4 linked regions of the Oryctolagus cuniculus genome follow. The protein of the gene in region 4 interacts with the protein of the main gene of each other region in a pairwise test. Links are inferred from orthologs where the notes say so. Each region holds a gene or a part of one and is shown on either strand. Other genes may lie near its edges. The genes, in order: AP1S2, AP1B1, UBL7 and AP1G1.

Region 1 (3,562 bases), on a different chromosome or scaffold from region 4:
TTTCCCCTTTGTGTGTATTATACTTAAATAGCGTATTCCAAAACATGGACCTCATGTTAACAGTGTCTTCAATAAGTCCTTCAGTTAGAAGGTTTACTTTCTTCTCTATTTACTTGTACTTTGAATTAATCAACTTCAGAAAAGTCCAGGTCAACTGTGTTTTCAGATGTTCATAGGAAGGTGCTTAAAAGGAAGAACAAAATCAAAGACCATTTCTAGGTAGTATGATTGAGTGATTGTTTTTGCTCTTTTGCTTGACTATGCTTTTCAAAATTTTTCTTGCACATTTATTACATTTGCAGCCTAGGAAAAAAGAATCTATACTGTTGTGAAAGAAGAAATAAGCATGCTTATAGCATGGATTATTTCATGATAGGTTACAAAAATATATTTAGAAAACTTGATTACAAGTTAACTTTTTTTCCACATTTGTTTTTTGTTACAGATATGCAAGTCTGTATTTTTGCTGTGCCATTGAGGATCAGGACAATGAACTAATTACCCTGGAAATAATTCATCGTTATGTGGAATTACTTGACAAGTATTTTGGAAGTGTGAGTATATTTTATTTCAGGAAATTTAATGCCATAGTTCTTTTTTTAATTTTTAATCTCTTCTTTTTTAAAAAAAAAGATTTATTTATGTATGTGAAAGGCAGAGTTACAAAGAGGCAGAGAGAAAGAGAGATCTTCCGTCTGCTGGTTCACTCCCCAAATGGCTGCAATGGCTGGAGCCGGGCTGATCCGAAGTCAGGAACAGGAGCTTCTTCTGGGTTCCCCACGTGAGTGCACTGGCCCAAGGACTTGGGCTGTCTTCTGCTGCTTTCCCAGGCACACTAGCAGGGAGCTGAATTGGAAGTGGAGCTGAATCGGAACTAGGGCCCATGTGGGATGCTGGTGCTGCAGATGGTTTATCCCACTATGCCACAGTGCCAGCCCCTTAACCTTTTCTTTACAAGGTTTATTATTTGGTTGTCTTGGGCATTCTAAATGTATAATAAGGCAGGAATGATTCTATTTCTTGTCAGTGGGCCTAGTTGTTAACTTCTAAAATTACTGGTCCTACAGACTTACTCATTTTATTATGATGAAAAGTTTATAAAGTTGAAAATAGTAAAATAGAAAGGAGTCCAACTGCAAACATTAACATTCTGGAAGTACTCAGTATAGACTTTAGATTTGGTTAGCAGTTCAGATCACATTATCTAGGAATTAAAACCAGTCTTTATGAGTTGAAAGTTGTTGGTACCACATTGGGAACCTGCAGACCAGGTCTTATGTAGCATAGAGGCATTGTGCTTTCAAATACTTGAGATCTGAAAATTCAGCTTATCTTAAATCAGTGATATTAATATGACTGCCATTTTTTAGAAAGAATTAAAATTGATGCAGTGTTGTCAGATTTTCTTCACTGCCTGATGATATTGATTAAGAATCTGGCTTTGGGGCCAGTGTCGTAGTGTAATGGGTTAAGCTGATGCTGCCTGTGACGCTGACATCCCATTTGGGCACTGGTTCATATCCTGGCTGCTTCACTTATGATCCAGCTCCCTGCCAGTGTGCAGGGAAAGCAGCAGAGGATGGCCCAAGTGATTGGGCCATTGTACCCATGTGGAAGACCTGGAAGAAGCTCCTGTCTTTGACTCTGCCTAGCCCCAACCGTTGCTGCCATTATGGGGAGTGAACCAACAGATGGAAGATCTCTTTCTCTCTGTCACATCTCCCTCTCTGTAGCTCTGCCTTTCAAATAAACAGTAAGTTTTTTTTTAAAAGAATAGAAAGTCTAGCTTTCCTAATTTTTGACAGTGGGTCTTTGTGGGTTTTTTTGTTTGCTTGCTTGCTTTTCAGGTGTGTGAACTTGATATCATCTTTAATTTTGAGAAGGCTTACTTTATTTTGGATGAGTTTCTTTTGGGAGGAGAAGTTCAAGAAACATCCAAGAAAAATGTCCTTAAAGCAATTGAGCAGGCCGATCTACTGCAGGAGGTACGCTACTCCTTCTCTTGACTAAATGCTTGCATGTTTTGCTTCTGCTAGGGAAGTCTCAGTCATCATTGTTAAGTTTCAGAAATCACTCTGAAACATGCTTGGCATGTAGTGTCCTTGTGTGGTTTATTGCTTGGAATATGTGTCAGTCACATCAATTCAGTCATCTGTGGATGGATAGTTCACTTTGGAGATGGTCTATTGGTCAGACCTCTTCTTTATGGCCCATTTTGGACCCCAAAACACTAGAGTCTAATTTTGGAAGACAGACTACTTTAAGAAGGGGAAGGATTGGCCAAAATTAACAGTAAGTTAAGAACTCTCCATCCATTGTTTTGAATTACTTAAGACAATCCCCTTTTTCATTAGTGTGGATAATTAAGAGTTGACTGTGAGATTATGTTGTTCTTATTCCAAATTGGTTCATTTTTTCACCTCATGTCCATTAGGTACAAATGTAGCCAAGCAATTGTTTCTAATTATACTTTTTGTAGAACCTTCTAGTTTTGTGTTAGCCAAACTGACCAAAAGTATTTCTATTTCTTTTGCTCTTCTTAAAAAACAAGCCATGTTCTGTCAAAACTACCCCATTCTTGTCATACCTCTGTATCCCCAGAACTATAATAACCCCTTTCCCTTTCTATTTACCACAGTCATCCTGGGCTAATTGTATATTTGATGCTTATGTATCATCTATTTGTGAAGTTTAAAATTTCATAGATTAAGTCTGCCTTTCTCTAAAAACAATGTCACCATAATTTAAGCACTAAACTGAATTACGTTTTAGAGCTAATTGTGGTTTTGATCTTACAGAAATTTTATAGCATGAGGAGTTAGTAAACAGGAAAAAAATACAGTGTTTTCATTAGATAGTTAAGAGTGTGTGTATATTAAAGATCTTGAATGCCTTTGACATGGCTCATTTTCCAGAAACACTGAAGACATGGTTTTGTATTTCCAGTTTAACTCCCTCTTTTTTATTACATATTTATCAGTTTATTCTTGTCTTTTAAATTTTAAAGGAGACTTTTAAGTGCAATTTTTTTAGCATTTCTGTTTAACAGAAATGTCAGATGTTAGGGGGAACAAAATAGGAGAGAAGAGTGATTCTCTGTCTCAGTTCTAACATTAATTTTCTGCCTCTGTGAGGAGGAGGGAGCTACTTGGGAATCTCCCTGCCTCAGTCATCAACAGCAGCAGTTTTGTGGGAGTTGCTCAGAGTTGAGATGATATTGGGAATGTACAGCTACTAATGCGAGCAAACACATTGTGCATTTAATGGTCTTGTATTTACCAAATAGAATAGTTAATGTGCCTGCAAAAGTGGGGTATTTTATTGGCAGCTCTGGTACTATTTGCTATTCAATAGTGAAGTGAGCACAAGCTCTTTTCCTTGTGTGTAGTTTGCCATGGTGGTTTATTAATCACAAACCACGTCATTTTGGGGATTTTTGTTTTAACATCAGTTGTGCTGACTACAAGTTCACATTCTGTTGTAAAATTGTTCTTAAAGTTAGCACATCCTTATTTTGCTCTTCACTAATCAAATTTAAAAAAAATAGGTCAAAACCAGGATT
Region 2 (3,562 bases), on a different chromosome or scaffold from region 4:
AGACCCACTTGGAGGCTTTTGTGGGTGACCTGGCAGGGCTGAGCTGGAAGCTCCCTAGAAAGGTGCCTTCCTGCTCGCGGCAGGCTCAGGGGGACCCCTGGCGCAGCATCCCCATCAGAGCCGCCCCCGGCTGGGGCGCCTGGTAGGCACGGGGCGCTCACCGTGAGGTTGGGGTTGCCGGGCTGTATGCGCAGCTCGGCCAGCACCCAGATGCCATTGGTCAGCCTCAGGGACTGGTAGAGCATGTCCTGGGCCTCCACGTTCCGCTTGGCGATGGTGAAGACGTTGCTGCTCTGCAGCCTGCTGCTCACGGCCTCTGTGAGGTCGGGAGGACCCGAGAGGACCCAGTCAGAGGGCAGTGGCCCAGGGCCAGCCAAGGCCCAGCCAGGGCTCAAGGTCGGGCTGGGGGGTTCTCACCCGCATTGAGGGGGCAGTCTCTGATCTGGAACTGGGCTTCGTTCTCATTGGGGATATCTTTCCATGTGGCCAGGAACATCTGCCGGTCTGGAAGGTGAGGGGGACCCTCATAAACCCGTGGCCCCTCAACCACCTGGAACAGGCCATGGGCCTGTGTCCAGTGTGCCGCCTGAAATTCAGGACGGGCACCAGCGCCCGCACAGCCCCAAGCCGAGCACACCCTCAGTTCTGTGAGGAGGCCCGAGAGCTGCTCCCGAGGGACCCTGGGCTTCCTGCCGCCCACCTCCACCCCACCACATGCCGGCCTCCTGCCCGGGCAGGGCAGCCTGTCAGTCACACCTGCCTCATGGGGCTTCCTCCTGGGTCAAGTGAGAGACAATCCCGGCAGCCCAGGGCATGGCTAAGGCCTCTGGGTACAAAAGCAGTGAGTGCCAGTCACGGGACATGACCTGGGGTCCCTGCCACCCCTGGGACAAGGCTGAGAGCAGGCAGGAGAGCCTGCAAGTGAGATGACCCTGTGTGGCACAGCCCACCTGCTGGCCAGGCATGCCCCTTGGGACAGGCTTCGCAAGGACCCAGTCAAGGGGCAGGCGAAACCATCCAGGCCTTGGGCAAGCGCCAGCTGGGCCAGGTTCCTAAGCCCTGGCCCCTGCTTGGGGCCTTCACGACTCACCCATTTTCCCGTCCTCCACAAAGAGGATGTGCAGAGGGTACAAGGTGCTGAAGTAGAAGACGTCTATGTTGTTCTTCACGGCCACCTAGGCAGAGGCGCCCGTCAGCCCCAGGCAGGACGTCCCTCCCGGCACCCATGCCCCTTTGCCACGGCGGGGGGGGGACCCACCTGGAGGTTGTTCAGGGGCTCCATCTTCATGACCGAGCCCACCGTGTTAAGAGGCAGCGAGATCTCCACAGTCTGGTTGGGGCTCAGTGGTGCGTGGACCTGGAGGGGGGCGGCGGGGGCCAGGCCAAAGCTAGGGAGAGAGAAGCCCCCGCAGGCACAGCTGGGCAGCAGGTGCTGACCGGGCACAGGTGGGCTCCTCCCCAAGCTGCCTCAGCCGAGCTGCAGTCCTGGGGCAGGACAGGCTCACGAGCTCCCAGGCCCCTCAGTGGCTGTGGCACAGGAGGAAAGGGCCCCAGGCTGCAGGCTCTGCCCAGCCCAGCCCAGCGCTGGCCGACGCTGGCCTGGGGGGCACTGGGCAGCCTCAGACAAGCAAGGCCCTGCCTGTCCTCCCTCCACAAGCTCTTCCTCCTACCAACAGCCTGTGGCAAAGCTCTGTGGCTGCCCAAGTCTCTGCTGCCCACACCCACTCCCTAGGAAGGATGTGAACCCCATCGGGCACTGGGATTTACTGTCTAGGGCAGCACTGGCCAGGTCACATGATGGCCAGTTTCAGGAAAGCCCTGCTTCTCTACGGCAGCACATAAGCAAATGGGGAGACTCAGATCCTTGTCAGACACAGCATGGACTGGGGGCTCCATCCGCCCAGGCTGGCATTTGACTTGATACCAATTCCCAAGCTCAGGAAACAGAGACAGGCACACATCGCCTCATCTTCCAGGTGAAGATGGTGTACCTCAAGGAGGGCCAGGTCCACGTCTGCTCTACAGGTGAGTGACAGTGCTGAGTCAGAGCTCGAGCTGCCTGCCTGGGACACAGCGGGAGAAGCAGCGGGCGACCCAGGCCCGCGCAGTGGCCCCGCACTACAGGCTTTCCTGGGAGCTCCGCCACTGCCTGCTGCGTGACCTGGGGCAACCTACCTGCCCTGAGCCCAGAGGTAATGGCCCTGACTTGACGGGCTGTCACCTGCTTCAAGTGAGACAATACCCCCAGAGCCCTGGGCACAGTGTTCCAGCCAGCAGGTTTTTCTGAGTGACCAGCCTGGAGCATGTCTGTGGCCGACAGGGTCTGTTGAGCGGAAGGGGAGGAGCTGCCCCAGCCTCCCTGTCTGCCGGAGGGTGGGGGTGTCCCTGGCCACGGCTCCCCGAGGAAGCAGCCCCTTCAGTCAACTTCTTAGAGGCTCAGTTTGCTCATCACTGGAGCCGCTCAGGAAGAGGGATCATCAGGAGGGGCTGCTTGGTCTCCAGAGCCCTGGCCTGACCCACGGTGGTACAGACAGGTAGCCTTCCTGTCACTCGCTGTGCGGGGACCTGGCAGGGCTGACGGCCTGGAGCAGGGCTCACCCCTGAGGCCCTGCCTGCAGGGGCAGGCTCACTGGGGGACAGACCCTCCTGACAGGTGGGGTGTTTGCCAAGGGCCAGCTCCTGGGCTGCCACTGGGGAAACACTCTCCCCACTCTTTCTGGGACTGCAGAGTCCACGAAAGTGGCCATGGAGGGAAGAGAGTTCCGGCCTGTAGGGTGGTGAGCAATGCCACCCGCTCCAGCTCCCCGGGGCCCTCAGCCCCTGCCTGCAGGTGGCTGGCCTCGGGAGCTTACCTGTTGCGGTTGAACTGGATTGCAAAGTCGGTCATGACCTGTAGGGCCTTGTTGGTGAGCTGCAGGTCCATGGAGATGGCGCCCACCTGGCGTGTGAAGGTGCCCGAGATCTCCAGCCCCTTAGCCTTCATGGCCGGGAGCCAGACCTGCAAGAAGGGGGAGGGGGGTGGCTGGCATGTGCCAGGTCCTGGCCCAGACACAAGGGCCCACCCCAGGGTCCCTTTTCTTTCTCTCCTGGAGGGGCCTCCCAGACTGAGCACCCTGCTTTGCTTCCTAGGGGTTGACCACTGACCTCAGGGGAGGAGAATGAGCCCGTGGCCTCGCACTGAGCAGCTCGCGCTGCAAAGGTGCTGGGCGTGCTCAAGGGCTGCTCTGAGAGTCGAGGTCAGAGAGGAAAATGGTCAGAAAAGGATATGGGGGAAGTGGGCTGAGGAGACGACCAGACAGTGTGCCCTGCCAGTCTCCGCACAAGCCAAGGACAGAGCGAAGTGCCCGGCGGCACCCCAGCTGTCACAGCCTGTACTGTGCAGGGGGCAGGGCTGGCCCAGAATCGCAGAAACTGGTCAGAGCAAGGACAGTACCTAGGAGGAGCCCTCGTGTGGCAGGCCCTCTGCTGCTTGGCTGCCCTTGTCACTCGAGTCTCAAGGGCCTCCTCCTCTGGGAAGCCTGTCTCCGGGCACTTCCCCGTGTTCATGCCCCAGTCACGATCC
Region 3 (4,054 bases), on a different chromosome or scaffold from region 4:
CCCGAAGAATCCATCCAACACTTCCTTACTGCGCACCCACTATGGGCCAGGCCCTAGTCCGGTGGAGGGCAGGACAGAGTCCATTCCCCCACGGAGAGGCCAAAACTACTCTAAAGAACATATTCACAAGCTCCCAGCGCGGTCAGACAGGGTCGCGGGCTCCTGCTGCAGGCGCCAAGGCACAGTACGGACGTCTGATAACAAGACGGGCAGCGTGGTCAGCGAGGCAGACAGGACCCCAAATAGGGCGGGATGGTTGGGGCGACTCCTGAGACGTGGCGTGGCTAAGGGCGGGCCGGTAGGGTGGGCTAAGGGGGCGCCTATGGGGACAGCCATGAGGGGCCTGGGCTTCCGTCCGAAGCCAGGGCAGACCCTGGGGGAGCCCAGCAGGAGGGCGGTCATCCTGTGGCCGGTGTCCGAAGCCAGGGCAGACCCTGGGGGAAGCCCATCAGGGGCGGGGGTCATCCTGTGGCCGCTGTCCGAAGCCAGGGCAGACCCTGGGGGAGCCCATGGCGGGGGTCATCCTGTGGCCGGCGTCCGAAGCCAGGGCAGACCCTGGGGGAGCCCCGCAGGGGGGCGGTCATCCTGTGGCCGGCGGAGCAGCCCCGGCGGCCGCCATCGTCTACCTCGCCACCTCCGGACATCCACCCTTTCTGCGGCGGCTCCTCTCGGGGCTCCAGGCCACCCCACCCCGAGCCCGGTCCGGAGTCTCTCTCCAGCACGGAAGCTAACTCTAAACTCGTGCAAACTCCCCCTCCGCACCCCGCCGCGGCAGAGGGCGCCCCGGGAGCCCCTCCGGGACCAAAGCCGGGCGCACACCGGGACGCCCCCATGGGTAAGTCGCTGGCGGCGGGCGCAAAAGAGGCCGACTCCACGCGTGGGCGGAGAGCCCACCGGCGACGGGCGTAGCGAAGGGAAGGAGGGGTCGCGGCGGGACGCGGGTCAGGGGCCGCCGAGGGCCCAGCGGCGGGCGTCTCCACCGCCGGACCCCACACGCTCCTCAGCGGCGCGCGGGAACCGCCGGGCTGGACACTGTCTTTGAAACAAAAAAAAACGAAAAAACCCACAAATGCCTGTCCCGCGACTCGCGGGGGCGGAAGATGCGGGACGCTGCCCACAGAGAGGCGAGGCGCAGCGCTCCCGCGGGGCAGTTCGAACATCCCGGAAGCCGCGCCCTCCCCGGAACCGGAAGCGTCGCCGCCACGAGCCCGCCCGGGGCGGGGCCACGGCGGGGACTGCAACTCCCACAATGCAGCGCGGCGCTTCCGGTTTCCGGCGCGAGGGCCTGAGTGAGTGTTTACACCGGCGGCCCTGCGGCCGGGTTCCTTCCGCGGGACGGGTGAGGGCGCCGGGCCCCGGGTCGCGCGGGCTGCACGGGGGGCGACTGGTTAACTGGCCGCGCGAGAGCGCTGGGGTCGCCGTGGGACAGCGCCCCTGCCCCCACCCGTCCCTGTCCGTGATCGTGACCGGGTCTCGATCGCGGCGTCGAGTGGAGGGATGGTGCTGCCCGCCTCGGGAACGCGTGTCCGGCTTCAGTGAGCGCGGTGCATATAAAAAGCCCCCTTCCCGCATCTCTTCCCTGTCTTGAACCTGGGGTGGGAGGTCCCTTGGGGGTGCAGCCTCGTGGCCTTTTCCGTCCTCTCTGCTGCCAGAGGCCTGCTTGAGGCGGTAGCGATGCCTGTGACAAGGGCCTGACCCGAGTCTCCCACCCTCAGAGGTTCCCGATTTATTTTCTGGCCGGCCGTGTGTACCAGGGACGGAGACCCTAAAGGCGGCAGATTTTAGGGTCTTCTTGGCAGTGTGGGGCGGGGGCGGGGGCGCTGATGGGAAGCTGTAGCCCCCTTTGCCTCCAGGGGGCAGGGGACGTGGACACGGAGGAGGTTGTAGGTGGGTCGGTCTTGCTAGAAGTGTGCCAAGAGGCCAGAAAGGGAAGAGGACACGGGTGAGCGGGCCTGTGCCCTGGGCGGTGGGCGGTGGGCGGCGAGGTGGGGCCGGGCGGAGCTCTGATGGGGCGGAACCTTCAAGCCGGGCCGTGCAGGTCAGAGCGTGGAGCCGCTGGAGCGGTCATAAGCAGAGAAGTGACCGGACCGCACCTGCGTGTCAAAGCGCTGGGGGGCCGGCCCGGGGGGAGGGGCAGCGGTTAAAGGCCCCGCCCGGGCGCCGCCTCCCACGTCGCAGTGCGGGGGTTCAAATCCCAGCTCCTCCTGCTGCACTTCAGCAGGTGAGGGCTCAAGGAGCTGGACCTCGGCCATGCACCTGGGACACGTGGGTTGAATTCGGGGCCCCCAGACACTGGCCGATGGGCAATGGAGAGTGGCAGGTGTCTGTTTCCGTGCCTTGCAAATAAAATGTAAATAAATCAGGTTTACGATGGTGAGTTGGGTGGCCTCGTGGAGGTTTGGTGAGAGGCAGCAGGCAGAGAACTTGCTATGAAGCCGGGAGTGAGTGGGTAGACGAGAGGGGGCTGGGTGGTTTCCTTTGGGCCTCAGGACATTCCTGTGGGGTTGGATGGTGCTGCAGGCCCCTGCTGCCCGACGCAGGATGAGTGCTGGTTCTGGCCCAGATGCTGCATCCCGGGCTTCAGGACACCTGTCTCAGTCAGCCCCTTGGCAGGTGGGCGTGGTGGGGAGGGGCCTGAGCTCCGGCCACTGAGGCTGTGTTCTTTCACAGGGAGAAAGAGAGAGCGCGAACGAGAGAGGATGTCTCTCTCAGACTGGCACCTGGCAGTGAGGCTGGCTGACCAGCCCCTGGCCCCCAAGTCTGTTCTCCGGTTGCCAGAGACAGAACTGGGGGAATACTCGCTGGGGGGCTACAGTATCTCCTTCCTGAAGCAGCTGATTGCCGGCAAACTCCAGGAGTCTGTCCCGGACCCCGAGCTGATCGGTGAGCCTCCGCGTCGAGGTTGGGCGGCTCTCGGCTCTCTCTGAGGAGGGCGCTTCTGGAGTCCTGGGCTTGGATTTGTCTGGAGGTGTTGGTACACCAGGGACGTGCGTGTTGGCTGACCAGACACACGTGTCTTACAACAAAGCGGCTGGTTGCCGTCTCAGTCCGTGTTGTACTGACCGCTTCACCACCAGCTGCTCGCCTGTGACCTCACTGAGCTCTGCCTCTCGAAGGGCAGACACCTGGGAGGGAGGGTCGGCCGGGGAGGACTGCTCAGCGGGTAGCATTCGGGACGATCGATTGGAAGGTCTTTTTTGTTCTTGCATTGTCCCGTTCATTTGAATCTCGCAGCGTCCGCAGGGTTAAGCTGGAAAGCTTTTCTGTGCCAGTTTCCGTGTAACTCCATTTTATGAGTTTGTCCTAACAATTGTTAAAATCCATTGATTGAAGCCGGCATTGTGATACCGCCGCTCGTGATGCCGGCATCCCATACAGGTGCCGGTTTGAGTCCTGGTTGCGCTGCTTCCAACCCAGCTCCCTGCTAATGCGCCTGGGAAGCCAGCAGATGATGGCTCAAGAACTTGGGCCCTTACCACCCACGTGGGAGACCCGGATGGAGTTCCGGGCTCCCGGCTTCAGCCTGGTCCATCCCCGGCCATTGCAGCCATGTGGAGAGTGAGCCAACTGATGGAAGACCTCTGTCTCTGCCTCCCCCTCTACCCGGCTCTGCCTTTTGAAGAAAGAAATTTTTTTTTTTTTTTGACAGGTAGAGTTATAGACAGTGAGAGAGAGAGACAGAGAGAAAGGTCTTCCTTCCATTGGTTCACTCCCCAAATGGCCACTATGGCCAGAGCTGCGCCGATCTGAAACCAGGAGTCGGGTGCCTCCCCCTGGTCTCCCATGCGGGTGCAGGGCCCAAGCACTTGGGCCATCCTCCACTGCCTTCCTGGGCCACAGCAGAGAGCTGGACTGGAAGAGGAGCAACCGGGACTAGAACCCGGCGCCCATATGGGATGCCAGCGCCGCAGGCGGAGGATTAACCAAGTGAGCCACAGTGCCGGCCCCAAAAGAAATACTTTTTAAAAAATCTATTAAATAAGAGTGTCCTTTAAAGTGTACATCACTCCCCAGCTGTCTGTGCGACCAAAGTAAGGTTCTCCGGGGCCAGAAA
Region 4 (4,009 bases):
AGAAAGGTAGCAGTTTTGTATTTTTCTTGAAGCTTAATTTAAATAAGAGTTTTATGGTTTTGATATCAACTAAGTCTGGCTGTATACATAAAATTCAAAAATCCTCATCAAATGCAAATAAGAGGATTAAGCACTGCAAAAATCTATTTTGGTATGTAGATGCCCAGTTCAATTTTTTAATTAAAAGTAATCCTTTGGAAAACACTCCTTCAACTTTTTTAACTTGTATAGTTTTCATAAATCACAAAAACTTGGTTTTGCATATCACTGAATTTTAAAACTCACTATTAAAATAAATACTGGGGGTGAAATATCACCAGGGCATTACTAACAATTTCTGTACTTCTCAATTTCACTCTACTAGTTGCCCCAAATCAGAAGCGCTGTCAGTCAGATCAAAGAGCAATCAACTGTTATCAAAAGAAAACTGAATGGAGGTTTCCTAAACACTATTAATTCAAGTGCAACTCCTAATAATCCTAAACAAAGCAGACATTCACATATGAGCTGATCAATCAATGGTGCAGTGAACAGCACTTTGCCAATAAAGTGTTAAGGCAAAAGGAACATTTTCTCAAGTGAATGCAAACCGTTTAAGATAAGCAGTGTTTACCTACCAGTACATTATACTATGAAATGAACTGAGTTCAGTTAACACCCACCTCTTAACTCTCCCAATATCGCTAGAAAATCTGTAACTCTGAAACACATTTCAGTAGTAACCACAAGGAAGTACTTAGTACATGAGTGAATATTCCATAAGTGTTCAGTGTCTGACAGTTCCTGTAAACCCAGAGAAAATTCCATAGATTCCAATTAATACAAACTCACAGAACTGCTGCCTGAGTAAGACTATTAACAAGAACAGAGCACATATGCTCAAAATATTTAGTTGTCGTATGACTGTACAGGAATTTATCTAGTCTAATTTCAATAACCTAGTAAGAATAATGCATCTGTGTGGTTTAGAAATAGTAAAAGACGTGGTTCGGTTCAAGTCATAAATTTAAATTTCAAGTCACTAGACTGCGACCTCAAATGCCTTATTCCTCTTTTGCAAAGGTAAAAACCCAGGGTGATTCAGTCACACTCACCTAACTTGAAATGTAGGAAATAATCAGTGAATTACTGTGAAACGCTTTTTGTTCAAGTATGCTAGGTCGCAAACATGCATTAAGAGTAAAACAAAAGTAGTAAGATCATGGACACCGGGAAGGTCCTTGTTTTTCAAACCAGAAGTCAAGGTATATATAGTCTGACAAGCATTGCAAAGAACAATAGAAATGAGTATTAAAAATCCAACTATTTCCAAAAAATCCGATACAGGAAGTATTTTCATAATCAGCACACGTCATGTCTGTAGGAACACCTGAAGAAAGCCCTCACTCCTCTCTGCCAACTAATCCCTCCGCCAGCCCAAAGAAGTTAACTCTCCTGCCGACCTAAGTCAGATTACCACTCTGCACAGATTCCCATGCTCAAGGGCAGACAGGATCACGGAAATCACAGGAAAGTCGGTAGCCACCCAAAGAGTAAGCGGCCAACACAGGAACAGAACCCACAAAGGAGAAAAACATGTGACAGCTCCCGCCCCCCAAAAGCCGTCTGATCTGCTGGATGCACGCGGGGCGCCGAGGCACGGCGAGCGAGCGGCTGCACGCATCTCCCACCCAGCCCAACATAACCAACCGCCCCGACTCTCCCAGACGATCAGGGCGATCATCAGAGGCTGACGTCCGCGGGGTCAGGAGTTCCGACAGAAGGGAGAGCGGAGCACTCGCGGGTGAGTTTTTAAAACATTGAAAAAAAAAATTTTTTTTTAAAGGGGGAAATTGGGGAGGAAGTTGGCTGGAAGATCAGCGCGAGGCGAGGCCAATGTCCGGTTCGGCGAGGACGGCGTTGCAAGGGCAGGCAGCGCTCCGCCGAGCCTCTGGAAAAGCTGAGTTCTCTCTGAGACCTGACCCGGGCAGGAGACGCGAGAACGCGGATAACGCGGCTCCGAGACGGCACGCGGGGGTGGGGCCCGCACCGCTCAACCCTGGGCTCGCTGAATGAGCCCGCAAAGCAAGAGCGCAGCCTGAGAAAGTCAATGGGTTCAAGGAGGCTCGCACCGGCCGGGCAACGCCACGGCACGGAAGGCCGCTGCCTCCCGCTCCGAGGCCTCGGGGTCAGCCCCTCAAGAAGTCGGAGCAGTCCCCGGGGCTCCGGGCCCCTCCTGGCCCAGCCTCCGTCCACCCCCCACCAGCCTGGCACCGGACCCCGGCACTGACAGGAAGCTTCCGGCCGTGCGCTCGCGGCAGCAGCAGGGCAAAAGCAGCAATATGCTCTCAGCGCCGCGAGTGACACTCACCGGCCCGAAACCTCGAATGAAACCAGCAGCTTCGGGGGCGGCGGCAGCAGTGGCAGCAGGAACCGAACATCCAAAATGGCGGCTCCCTCGGCCTCACCACCGCTACCGCAGGCGGAGGGATCCTCGGAAGGAAGGGAGTTTTTAACTAACTTCCCACGCTACCGCAGAAACTTCGGCCCCTTATGCCCCTCTCCTAGCCGATTCCGCGTCCCCTAACGGCAACTTCTCGTGCCTCCCTTCTCGGATTAGCCAAGAACTCGGACCCCGCCGAGGACTATTTGCCAAGGAGGAGGCGACTGCGCCTGGCAGAGCGACGCAGAGCGTAGCCGGAGTCGGGGCTGTCACTGATGACGCGAGACGCTGCTGCCGAGTCACCGCTGCGATGAGTCTGAGCGAGAAAGAGCCGGCCGGCCCCGCCGCCGACGGACATTGGTTCCGCTTCGCGGTGATGGTGGCGGCGGCGGCGGTGGGGTGCTGGGCTACCAGGAAGCAGTGGGGCCACCTGAAGGGGGTGGGGCTAGGGGAAGTGGCCGAGGAAGTGGGAGCGGCCAGGAGGCGGGGACCGCTGAGCCGGGCTGAGCTGGTCTTAATCACGAGGATCCCAGGCTCCTTCCTCTCACCTTTGAGACGTTGCCTGTCTCCTCAGGAACGTACTTCATTCATGTGGTCTAGACATCTATCATTTTATGGTATCTGTGCCACAAGTTTTGTGAAGAGGTAGAGGTTGACACCGAAGGATGGCTTCCACACAACTGCGTTATTGCGTCTTGCTCCTGCATTGGACGAGTGACTTGAACTCTCCGGGACCTGTTTCCTCATGTGTAAAAAGGGAAGATTTGGACTAATGAGAGCTAAACCCTTTCCAGAATGGGCTTTCCGTCTGACTTCGGGAATTCATGATTTGCGTCAAAAAAAATCCAACGGGACAGTTCTTGGCTTGATAAATAATTAGTATCAGCTGAAACCAGTCTTTTCCACGTGAATGTGCAAAGTGCCCTGATATCTTGGCCCATTTAAAGGACAGGTGACCTACCTGAACTAAAATCCTCTGGTTATAGCCAGGCGTTGTGGGGTAGCGAGTTAAACTCTGGCTCGGGACACCCGGATCCTCTATCAGCGTCCCCGGGTTCAAGTCTCAGCATCTTCGGATCCAGCGCCCTGCTAATACAACCTGGGAGGCAGCAGCGGATGGCTCAAATGTTTGGGCCCTTGCCAGCTACCTGAAAAACCCAGATGCAGTCCCCGGCTCCATGCTTTTGCTTGGCCCAGCCCATGCTGTAGCTGACATTTGGGAAGTGAACAGGAAGATCTGAAGATAACTCTCTCGCTCTTCTCTCTCTAGCTCTCCTCCCCTCTTCTCTCTTCTCCTCTCTTCTCTCCTCCCTTTCCCCCTCCCCCTGCCCCTCTGACAAGTAGATGAAAGTAAAATGTATTTTTAAAACATTTGTTTGAAAATCAGAGTTACACAGAGAGAGAAGGAGAGGCAGAGAGAGAGAGGGGTCTTCCACCTGATGGTTCACTCCCCAGTTGGCCGCAATGGCTGGAGCTGCGCTGATCCGAAGCCAGGAGCCTGGAGCTTCTTCTGGGTCTCCAGAGGGTGCAGCAGCCCAAGGACTTGGGCCATCTTCTGCTTTCCCAGGCCATAACAGAGAGCTGGAT

The links.
Region 1: the proteins of AP1G1 (region 4) and AP1S2 interact in binary tests that used the Homo sapiens proteins (3 or more experiments, as listed by UniProt). The link is inferred for Oryctolagus cuniculus from reciprocal best matches to the Homo sapiens genes AP1G1 and AP1S2.
Region 2: the proteins of AP1G1 (region 4) and AP1B1 interact in a two-hybrid assay, tested with the Homo sapiens proteins (2 studies listed by BioGRID, with this or other methods). The link is inferred for Oryctolagus cuniculus from reciprocal best matches to the Homo sapiens genes AP1G1 and AP1B1.
Region 3: the proteins of AP1G1 (region 4) and UBL7 interact in binary tests that used the Homo sapiens proteins (3 or more experiments, as listed by UniProt). The two-hybrid records come from large-scale screens. The link is inferred for Oryctolagus cuniculus from reciprocal best matches to the Homo sapiens genes AP1G1 and UBL7.

Annotation. Positions count from the first base shown.
Region 1 is NC_091453.1:1,986,694-1,990,255, reverse strand, and holds part of AP1S2 (AP-1 complex subunit sigma-2), read left to right. Parts: intron 1-445; coding exon 446-554; intron 555-1,847; coding exon 1,848-1,985; intron 1,986-3,562. UniProt on the Homo sapiens protein: Subunit of clathrin-associated adaptor protein complex 1 that plays a role in protein sorting in the late-Golgi/trans-Golgi network (TGN) and/or endosomes.
Region 2 is NC_091452.1:22,748,420-22,751,981, forward strand, and holds part of AP1B1 (AP-1 complex subunit beta-1), read right to left. Parts: intron 2,999-3,562; coding exon 2,853-2,998; intron 2,499-2,852; exon of another isoform or gene 2,402-2,498; intron 1,389-2,401; coding exon 1,259-1,388; intron 1,176-1,258; coding exon 1,091-1,175; intron 505-1,090; coding exon 418-504; intron 317-417; coding exon 162-316; intron 1-161. UniProt on the Homo sapiens protein: Subunit of clathrin-associated adaptor protein complex 1 that plays a role in protein sorting in the late-Golgi/trans-Golgi network (TGN) and/or endosomes.
Region 3 is NC_091443.1:109,217,455-109,221,508, forward strand, and holds the start of UBL7 (ubiquitin-like protein 7), read left to right. Parts: upstream 1-1,207; 5' UTR 1,208-1,249; coding exon 1,250-1,289; exon of another isoform or gene 1,290-1,544; intron 1,545-2,670; coding exon 2,671-2,883; intron 2,884-4,054.
Region 4 is NC_091449.1:55,426,378-55,430,386, reverse strand, and holds the start of AP1G1 (AP-1 complex subunit gamma-1), read right to left. Parts: upstream 2,857-4,009; 5' UTR 2,351-2,856; intron 1-2,350. UniProt on the Homo sapiens protein: Subunit of clathrin-associated adaptor protein complex 1 that plays a role in protein sorting in the late-Golgi/trans-Golgi network (TGN) and/or endosomes.